Linked DNA regions of Mus musculus: region 2 is reported to be linked to region 1. The links are microRNA targets in miRTarBase. Many come from high-throughput screens and were not tested one by one. Region 1 holds a microRNA gene; the other region holds the end of a gene's coding sequence.

Region 1 (5,371 bases):
TGCTCTGAGGGCAGAGCACTGCTAACCACGCAAGATGGAATCAGGTGTGTGGTGCTCTGGGCATAAGAGGAAAGCCTGGCTGTAAATCCCAGTGTCTACCTTGTAAAGTGCACTACTACGGCTGGATAAGCAGGTAGAAGATTCCCACGTTATGAGGACATACACCATTGACCGCTGTGAACACTGGGTACATAGTAGGGCACAGAGCCACCCATGGACAAGTAGGAGAGATCACAGAGAGACTCACTGAGCTTCCATAGGCCCCCAGGAGCTCAACCCTGCCAGTTCCTGTTTGCTCACTTCCCCAAGTCCTAGCCATATTCTTGCTGGTCAGGGGGAACTCAGAACACAGCAGTTAGCAATCATGGCGCCCAAAGAACAAGGGCTTTGCTGTGCTGAGCTCAACAGGTGGGCTCGAGATCGGCTCTGATTAAGGCAGTGAGCCCCTTGAGGAGGACTCTGGGACAGTTTCACGTTAACCACATACAGGGACAGTGTTGGCATCTGCTACTGGGTTAAGAGTCTCTACTTATTTACACCGCACGTAGCTCTGGTCCCTCTCGCGCCGTCTTTGGCACAGCCGTCCATTCAGAAATTTTGGTAGTATGCACAGGGTTTTCTTCAAAATAAAATCTTTAAGAGGATGTGAAGGCAGGAAGCAGCGGCTCATCTCGGGATGATTATCCTTTCTATGGCACACAAGATATGGTCCCAGTTTTTACAGAATATGGCGAGAAGAGTCACAGCAAAGAAGGTGCCAAGGATGTGGGAGCGGCTCTTCATCATGGGCGAGACAAACTTGGCCAGGGTGGACACACACACCAGGATGACCGTCATGAAGGCCAGAACCACGTTGATGCACTTCCCCAGCAGGACCTTGGCGTTCACGGCATCCGTCTGCAGGGTCTGCTGTTCCTGCTGATGCAGCTCGAGCTTAGAGATGCGGGTCTGGCAAGATTCCAAGGCTTCCTGCGGGCGAGAGGAGAGCAAGGGTCAGACGTAGCTGGAATCACAGGCCTTGCGGGAACACGTGCCCAGATGTGCCCCAAGCTCCAGCTCAGAGCATCTACTGCCTCAGCAGATTCAAATCCCCAAACCAACGGTGAGAGAGGAAGTCATAAGGCAGGAATCCCAAGACTCCTACATGTATTCAACCATAAAACACCATAAGGGAGGAGTTACGGTGGTCTACTTTTGTTTATTTGTTTACTGTTTTTGTTTGTTTTTTTGGCGACAAGGTCTCTTGTGAAGTAGCCCAATCTGGCCTTAAACTTCCAATTCTCCTACCTCAACCTTCCCAAGTGCTGAGATTTGGGGTCACAGTCAAATAGCATCATACCCGGTCATAAGGGCTCATTTCTCAATGTATTTGTACTTGAGAAGAGGTGACATGAAACACCGGTGTCTGCTGGCCCTGTCAGGAGGGGACTGAAAAGGGGCGGAGCTGGATCTGTGTTCTGGGATGCAGGCTGCTCAACCCTTATCCATGGTATCTGCTCTTTCCCTCTGCCACTCCACCGCTGGGAGCTTGTGTCTGTGGAGTGACTGTAGGGAGGATGCAGATGCTAAGGGGAACGACTGGACCAACAGCAGGCCGCTCTGCTTCAATCAGCCTTGTGAATCTATTCCTTAAGTCAGCAGCAGCCCAAGCTGTCTCTCCAGGCCCAGTGCAACCTGATGCTTCACTTCCTAAAGCGACATCACATGGGTGACTCGGAGTAGATTACCCAGCCTGGCTATTTCCTCGGAGGCTGACTTGCACATCTACAGAGCTTTTGGAAAACGCCCCTGTGCAGCTCAGTCACGAGTATGTTTATGGAGTGTACCTTGCCCTGCAAGCAGTGACCCTGTGTCCTCACACCCCCAACTCTTTCTCTTAGAACACCACTTAGGCCTCTTATGACAGAAACCCCAAAGCATCCTTTGACATGTCTCTTGTCCAGCCATCAGCTGGCTCTGCCGATGCAGCCGGCACTGTCCATCTTAATCAATATTAACCTCTCTTGCAGTCCCCACTCACTAGGGATCGCCGGGACCTCTTGCTTGCTGTGATTTGAATTTCACATGGTGTGTTCCATAATCCATATTCCCTGCCACAGTCCATGTGACTTTTGAAAGATATACATTTCTGACATCCCTCTTCATAAAAGACCTTTCGGAATCTTGCTTGGTCTGTGTGCAGCCATCTTATCCTGCCTTCATCCACTGCTCTGCCCAAACTGACCCTTTCCAGGTTCCAAAAAATGCCTGGGGGACTTTGTGCAGTACCCACTGCCGGAAACTCTTAAGCACCCCTCTCTTCACCAGTGGATCTGCCACACGTCTGAGGTCTCATCCTTACAGACATTCCCCGAAGGAAGCCCTCCCTGACCCATCTTGTCTCTAGTCAGCCTTCCTGCACAGCTGAGAGGCGCCTAAGTTGCATGCGGTCAGGCACGAGGCTCATCCAGCCCTCATTGTCCACTTCAGAACAGCAGTGCTGCACGCAGCAGGTGGCTGGAGAGCCAGGGTGCCAGTAACAGGAATGTCAGCTCGAAGAGGAAGAGCCCACGCCTCCTGGGAGGCAGTGCGACGTGCCTGCTCCTCCACCAGTCTGTTGTGGCAATCATTTGCCAATGTGCTTGTGCAGCTGCGTGCGGTCACCTTTCCAGGCTTTAAGCGGGTGTAATGGCTCCAACATTGATTTGCTTCTCTCCCGCTGAATATACTCGCTTGGCTAAAGAACAGGGTTCTCTGTTACTATAGCAACTTTCATTATACTAGGCTGCCGACCAAAGGATAAAACTTTCTCAGATCTTCACATTTAAGCGCTGCTGGCTGCCGGCACTAACAGGCAAGTGCAGAAGGGCGGGCTGGCTTTCAGCTATGGGGCCCGGGATTTTTTTTTCCCCTTTCCGTTTTAGATATGGCGTGAAAAGGGTGACAGATCAAGACAAAGGACTGTCATGTTTGGCCCTTTCACTCAGTTTTAGGGTAGAGAGGTCCACATCTCCTTAGGCTCATCTTAGAATTCACATTAGAACTGCTACCGATGTCTTACTCAAAGAAAAATCTAAGAAAATCAGGTAGTGAATTGTTAAGGCATTTCGCCCATGACATGGAGAGATTTTGCCCCATGATAATTAGGATTTCTTTGGTTGAGTGTTTAACTTGTTTTATATGAACATAGAGGGCGGGGTTATCTTTAGTAGTTTAAACTGGATATTCAGGATTTTAAAGAGGATGAGGGGGATCGGTCACTTAACAGCAAAAACTGTGGGTCTGTGGGCCCTTGCTACGTGCAGCATGCCAGCCTATCCCATTGGAAGCTCACTTCCCAGAACCACAGACATGGGGACCAGAGAGATCAATGGCTAAGAGCCTTGAGGAATGTTGCTATTTAACAATAAGATAAAAGGGACCCCGGCATTAACTTCTTGGCTGTTTATTATGAGTCTGGCGAAGAAGACCCTGGTACAACAAATATCTGATTCTATTTGATCTGCTTGACTGTTTGAAGACGAGGAGTCGGAGGCGCTCAGCACTGACTTAGCCAGGTTCACACAGAGACAGAGTGGTAGAGCCAGCTTTGAACCTCCGTGACCTCTGTCATTGACAGAGCTGCTCTTCATAGCTCTGACTAGAGGTGCAGCTGAAGAAAAACCGTGGAAATGAACTCCTCAGAAGTTCAAGTTCCTTTTGTGGGGGCCCTCCCTTGATCTGACCTCCTTGCTCCCAGAATATGTTTCTTAAAGAGCAGAGAACAATGTTAATCTAAACCATCCCCTAAAAGAGGAAACAGTGTGTTTAGACACCACCCGGTGATATCCTAGACCTGTTCTAAGATAGGACGGCCAAGGGCAGGTGGGATGGCTCAGTGGGTAAAGCACTTGCTGCCAAGTCTGGATTTTGATTCCTGGGACCCACAAGGTAGAAAGAAGGGACATGACTCCTGTTCTCCAGTCATCATGTGTGACATGATGCTGTGACATGCATGCGTGTTCGCGCATGCACACACACACACACACACACACACACACACACGTAAGTATAATAAAAAATGTTCTATATAGAATCACTTAACAGATGAGAGTTCTGTCTCCCAGGTCAGTCAGTGGAGACTCTGAGGCTCCTCACCCAGGGAACAGAGAGTAGTTTCCCAGTGTCCTCTGCTCTCTGGGGACAATGTTTCCCATCAGTGCTAAAGCCCTGCTTCCCAGAACTGTCTGAATAGACCTCTGGCATCAGCAAACCCAGACTCCACCGGTGCAGAACAAAATGCTTGCAGCGGAACTGCAGCATGCGCCCCAGGGAGAAAGTGCTCTGATGCTTCAGCCTACTGCCTTGTAAAGTGGGGTTCAGGGCGTGGATAGCCTTTCTTAAGCTCAGAAAGTTCCCACCGACTACAGAGAAGATATGAAAAAGGGCATTACTGATTTTGGTTATTGTTATGATTTCTTTCAAAAGGTGACCAAGAAGCCTAGGGCTCTTCCATAGCAGCCTGGGGACCTCAGGAGCAAGTTCAGCACTGGCTTTTGTTTGTGACATAACTGTTACATGGATCTACACATCTGTTCCTGCTAACCTTCTGGGCCTTGCCTTTCCCTTTCAGTTCCGCCTTCTTAGTCACTCCTAAGGGACAATTTGCAAGGCCTTGTACAGGTCACTTCACCTTTTTGTACCTCAGTCTCCAGATCTGAGAAACAGGACCAACAATAAGAGCGATTACAAAGGGCTATTGAGTAAGTACCAAGTACAGTGGTTTAGTAGGGGCTGGCAGTCATGCTCGGCGATTTCACAGATACGAAGCAATTGCTTTATAGATAAGCAGACTCAAGGCTTGCTCAGAGCCAAACAGTTGGTAAATAATAGACTCGAAACCAAAATTTACCAGGAAATGTCCGAGTGCTAGCCCCTGCTCCCTGCTCCTATCCCGGCCAGCAAGCATAGCTGGACTGGATTTCTGGGGCACTGTAGCGTCCTTGCTAGAGCCATCTGGTATACCGTTAGACTACTCCAGCCTCTGCAAGAAGCTTCCTGAAGGCAGGCTGCCTAACAGGTGACGTTTCTTAATGTTTTGGAGTTTTTGAAATTAGGTTAGTGGTATAGCCACTAGTTAGGCAACCGGGTAACAGAGGGAACATAAGCCAACAGGGCCAAGGGGTGGATGGGAAATATCTATGTAGAGAGAATGAACATCTTGCCCCTCATGACGGAATGCTTGGGGAAGTGTACTGGGTTAGGCTGTTGAATGAATTAAAGCCTGGAAAAATCCTACACCGGGGTCTGCCCAGGAGGGGACCCATACCTGGATGTCCCTTGAGCGCTCATAGGCCTGGTAGGCCACCTTCTCCTCAGCGCTGGCCAATTCCTGCTTCAGATTGGCTGTCTC
Region 2 (5,371 bases), not on the chromosome of region 1:
ACTGTGTTCAGCCCTGACTCCCATGGGACTGCGGGACTACTGGTCCCCATGGGACCGCGGGACCTGCTTAACTGCTTGTTCTGTACCCCCAGATGATGCCAGCTGGCTGCATGCGGGACCACCCCACAACGAATACATGGAGCAGAGTTTCCAGGGCCTAAGTGGCATCCTGAATCTGCCTCAGGCAGAGGCCCTGGAGGAGGCTGCCCGGAGGCACACAGAGCTCACGGGTTCTGCACTTGAGGCCTGGACAGATGGGGAACTGAGCAATTTCTGGTCTGTGGCAGGATTGTGTGCCATAGGACCTTCTGCTTGTCCCTCCCTGGAGCTCTGCAGACTGACCAGCTGGAGCTCTCTGTCTCCTGACCCCAAGTCAGAGCTGGGGCCTGTCAAAGCTGACGGGCGACTCAGGTAGCAGGACCCCAGCCAGCACAACCCGGAGGAGCCGGGGAATTGCACCTTACAGACAACGGAGGGACATCTCTCCCACAGACAAGAACCAGAGGCCCAGGCAGTTTGCCCATTTGAGCCAACAGGAACCTACACTGAGGGCAGGGAAGGTGGGTGCAGTACTCCCTACTGCTAACGGCCCTGCAAGAGACCAGCGGTCCACTGGAGCCATGAGGAGGATCTTCCTCTGCTCCTCGTTAGTTTATACTTTTTTAATAATTAAAATGAGTGGCAGAGGGAGGACGATGTGCAATAGGGCTCAGAGCAGCCCCAGGATATGGGCCATGGCCATGGGGAGCACCACAGAGCATATCGGTTTCTGCTCTGGGGAGGCATGGGCTGCCTCCCTCTCCAGAGCCTCCATCCCCAGCCTGCATCTGAACTGCGCACTGCTGAGGCTCTGAGGCCCGGAGGACAGGTGATCTGTGGGGGCTACTGTGGAGTTGGACTTTAGTGAGCAGGCCTCTCCTCTGGGAGCCAGGGAGCCCTAGAGCAGAGCTGGGGCCGGCTCTCGGGCTTCCCTAGGAAATGCGCGCCATCAGGGCCTGCTGAGATCCATGAAGTTTCCCTACTGGAGGAGGAAGCCCACTGGCGGCACAGGAAGGCTGTCTGTCAGAGCTCTCACAAGAGTCGAGTTGTGCCTGAAGCTCAGTGCGAAGTCTGAAATATGCAACAGAGGAAATATATCTCTATCTCTCCAAGCTCAATGTCCTTGTTTGCTTCCTGCTGCTATGACAAAGACCATGACCAAAGGCACGTGCACGGAAGGGTTTGCTTCGTCTTACAGCCTATAGTCCATCATAAGGAGAAGCCAGGGCAGGGACTCGGGAGGCACTAAACACAGGCCATAGCTAATGCTTTTTGGCTTGCTCCCCGGGCTCATGTTGTGGGACCCTCCCACAACAGTCGTTAATGGAGGCATTTTCTCCACTGAGGTACCTTCCCAGATGATCCCGGCTTGTATCAAGTTGACAAACCAGGTGGCAAACTGAGGGCTCGTGTTTTCCACTGTAGGTGAGGGAGCGGTGGCTGACCCCTGGATTTCTAGAAGTTCTGATAGGCTTGAAATAGTAACAGTCCCTGTAGCAGGAACTGTTGAAAAATCCAACCAGAAGCCAGACAGCTTTGCAGTGGAGGCTTCTTTCTGCAGGGAAAATGGGGCCTGGGAGGCTTAAAATCCTCGTTGCTACCCAGCAGGCCAGCATTAGCTGTGGGTCTAAAAAGCCCCACCTGGCCCTCCACTGCTGCCACTGGGCCAGACTGCAGTAAATGATAGCTTAGGGGCCTTCGGCATCACCGAGGCCCCTCCCCAAGGCTACATACATCTTTCTCGCTACCTAAGTCTTGCCTTTGTAGCCTGCTCAGGAGAGGCTCTTGTGGTTATGGCCTACTGGTTAGTTCTGTAGGCTTCCCTTTATGGCCCTAGGACCTGAGTGAATGGTGCCTAAGTTCCTGCTGCCTTCCCATCTGATTCTCTTCTTGTTGTAAGGAAGGGCTCAGCATTAGTTCTTCATGCCTCACATAATGTGGGAGTAGGGATGGAGGTTTCTGGACCTCTAAGATCATGTCATCAGCTGCCACACTGGGCAAGGCTCAGTTTAGCTCAGGGAGTACAGTACGTTAGCTGATGGCTGCGCGAGGTGTAGCGATCTCCCAGTTGCCAGGAGGGCGCTCCTGACCACCAACAAACAGCACTAGGGTGGGTGGTTTTGCAGGTTGGGACTGCCAGTCTTCAGGTAGCAAGTCCCGACTGAGAGCTGGAAAATGAGCCCTAGGGTCAGAGCCCCTGATGCTCTTCGGAAGGGGTGGAGGCCTCCAGGGCCATTCTGTAGCTGCACTCTGCAGTTCTCACAGGGTGTGGCTGGCCAGTCAGGAAGTGCTAAGGGAAGGAGCACACAAGGTGTTTTGTCCAGAGAAGATGCTTGCTTTCTGTCACCCACTTTAATGAACATTTGATGCTAGCTCTCCAGGTGGTTAGGGTGGGTGGCTCCTCCCCCCCAACCCCCTTCTTATTTATTTGTTCTGGTAGGTTTTTTGGTGGTGGTGGTGGTGGTGGTGGGTTTTTTGTTTTTGTTGTTTTGTTTGAGACACGGTTTCTCTGTGTAGCCCTGGCTGTCCTGGAACTCGCTCTGTAGACCAGGTTGACCTCGAACTTAGAGCTCTATCTGCCTCTGCCCCCCCCCAAGTGCTGGGATTAAAGGCGTGTGCCACCACTGGCGCTTTGTTTTAATTTACCAATATCAACTCTTATGTCAGGTACAGAAACTTACCAGCTGGATTCAGCAGATGAGCTACAGGCGGTAAACCATGATAGACTGCATCGGAGACTGCATTGTAGCGGCCACACCCGGGCCCACTTAAGCAGCCCACAGCACAGTAGTTCTGAGTACTGGGTTTTGTTTTTTTTTTTTTTGTTTTTTTTAAACAAACAGATTTATTTATTTATTTATTTTATGTAAGTACACTGTAGCTGTCTTCAGACACTCCAGAAGAGGGAGTCAGATCACATTACAGATGGTTGTGAGCCACCATGTGGTTGCTGGGATTTGAACTCCGGACCTTCAGAAGAGCAGTCGGGTGCTCTTACCCACTGAGCCATCTCACCAGCCCCGGGTTTTGTTTTTTAATGTACACACTTAATGTATGTGCTGGGGGAGTGCACACACCAATGTGCACACATGCAGAGGCCAGAGGACAATGCCAGGATCCCACTCTATCAGTTTCTGCCTTATCCTTTGAGACCAGATCTCTTATTGAAGCTACAGCTTGGAGTCTTTTAGCTGGGCTGACCAGCCTGAAAACCTCAGGGAGCCTGTCTCTGGCTCCCAGCATTGGGCTACAGCTGCTCTTGGTTTTTTGTTCATAGGTGCTGACCAAACGGCCCCATCTTCTGGCCTAACAGAAGCAACTGTTCCTTAGGGAAGGGGCCTTTGAGATAGCCCAGGTTCCCTCTAGCTCAGAGCTGCAGTAGGAAATGTTTGCAGCATCCTGGCCAGGCCCCTCCCTTACATTGGTAAACAAACTGCTGGAGAACCCTCCTTGAAGACAAAGGTCTCTTCCTAGCTCTCCAGCCCCAGGGAGGAAAGCCAGAGCAGGTTTCTATGGACTGGAGGGGGCAACTCCAGCACTGCTAGGCCTCTCCTGAGGGACAGGGACAGGGCATCACACAGCAGATATGCAGGAAGCAAAAATAAAGTTGAGCTGCAGCCCTAGACTCTCAACTCCCAACTCTGAGCACCAGACAGAGGATGGAGGGTGAGGACAGAAAATGCTGTTCAGACTGACCGTCCAAAGGCCATCAGAGCTGTGGGGAGCAGATGGAGCCAATGGCCAGAAAGGAACACACTCTCTTCCTCACCTAAGTGCTTCCCAGACATGCTGAGGGCTGTTAGAAGAAACAGGAGTGAGCAGATGGGTACTGGGGTGAAGTGATAGGACTCTGCTCCCCTAGAGGCTAAGCCTGTATCCCAGGCTTGCATTGGATCCTAAGACTGAGCTCCTCCCTATCTCGACCAATGGGCCACCTACACAGGTTCATCCAGGGAAATGAGCAGACATGTAAATGAGGATCCTTGCACTGCTGTCTCTAAGTGGGGGATGAAGTATGTGTTAGCATCCTGCAGCCAGGCAAGGGGTCTGATGTGGCTAGAAGGCAGTGGAGGGAGAGATGTCAGAAGCTTGTAGAAGCAGGAGCAAGGTAGGTTGGGCCACAGACCCATCAGTAGGAGCAAAGGAAGCTGGGTAGCAGTGGTGCAAGACTTCCTTGCTCTGCTTTTCTTGGTCATAACGGTGTCCCCAGAGAGGTAGCCTGTATGAGGCTGCCCAGGACCCACCAGTAAACCCTGTGGCAGTAGGCTTGTGTGCCCAACTGTTGGACAAAACCACTGGGGCAGATTTCCCCAGCTGACTGTGTAGTGCTGTGTAGAGTGTGGGGCCCTCTAAGCCTTGGGTGCCCTGCAGAACTCAGCTTTTCCCATATAACTTTTTTTGTTTTTGTTTTGTTTTTTTTCGAGACAGGGTTTCTCTGTGTAGCCCTGGCTGTCCTGGAACTCACTTTGTAGACCAGGCTGGCCTCGAACTCAGAAATCCGCCTGCCTCTGCCTCCCGAGTGCTGGGATTAAAAGCGTGCGCCACCACGCCTGGCAACCCCATATAACTCTTATATGGTGTCTGTTAGTGCCCTTGGGCAGGACAAGGAAAAGGCTACAAAGCCCTTAGGTACTTTTGCCTCTGTGGATAGACCCCAGACCAGGAAAGCCTTCGAGGGACCGGCAATGGGTGACCCTGAAGAGCAGTGTGAAGGGTATGTGTACATGGGGATGGGGAGAGGGCTAAAACCTTTGCCTTCTAATTCCTTCAACTGCCACCAAGCTATGAGCCCTCAAGGACACTGCTGCACTTCTATCCAACGGTTGCTTGCCTACCCCTCAGGAAGCAGCCACCTGTCCTGTCCCTTTCCATCTCTCTTTTTTAAAATATTTATTTATTTTGTTTATACGCATACATTGTTGCTGTCTTCAGACACACAAGAAGAGATTATAGATGGTTGTGAGCCACCATGTGGTTGTTGGGAATTGAACTCAGGACCTCTGGAAGAGCAGTCAGTGCTCTTAACTGCTGAGCCATCTCTCCAGCCTCTTCTGTGGAGATTTTGTTCTCACCCAGACCCTTGACTTCCATCATCACTGTTCCTGTGACCTGGGCTCCAGGCTCCATCCAATGGTCTCAACAGGACTTCAAAGCATGTCCACTAGTTTGAAGGTTCCCTCAGGTTTGGCAGGAACCACGTGGACAAAAGTCTTGTAGAGCACAGCACCCTTGGGCAGACTAGTGACCAGATCCACAGCCTCCGTGTTTTTGGGATTGGGCACGTAGACATCTTTCGTGTAGCGGACTATCCCCTCCTCCAGGGCATACAGGC

Evidence for each region. Region 1 holds the annotated microRNA mmu-miR-7211-5p (UCUUUCCCUCUGCCACUCCACC, at 1,498-1,519, shown strand). A microRNA usually pairs through its seed, bases 2 to 8, with sites in the 3' UTR of a target mRNA and lowers its output. Matches are read on the target gene's strand: a 7mer-m8 pairs with bases 2 to 8, a 7mer-A1 pairs with bases 2 to 7 and ends in A, and an 8mer does both.
Region 2: miRTarBase lists Xylt2 as a target of mmu-miR-7211-5p. The part of its 3' UTR that is shown has no 7-base or 8-base seed match.

The regions. Positions count from the first base shown.
Region 1 is chr10:94,582,326-94,587,696 of GRCm38, reverse strand. It overlaps Mir7211 (microRNA 7211), which reads left to right and starts at 1,498; the gene lies at 1,498-1,560. Tmcc3 (transmembrane and coiled coil domains 3) reads right to left here. Exons shown (of 4, transcript NM_172051.3): 3 at 5,288-5,371; 4 at 1-969. The coding sequence ends at 667.
Region 2 is chr11:94,659,631-94,665,001 of GRCm38, reverse strand. It overlaps Xylt2 (xylosyltransferase II), which reads left to right. Exons shown (of 11, transcript NM_145828.3): 11 at 93-1,155. The coding sequence ends at 415. It overlaps Mrpl27 (mitochondrial ribosomal protein L27), which reads right to left. Exons shown (of 4, transcript NM_053161.2): 4 at 4,915-5,371. The coding sequence ends at 5,187. Among named protein-coding and RNA genes, the nearest start is that of Mrpl27, 8.5 kb to the right of the region's middle.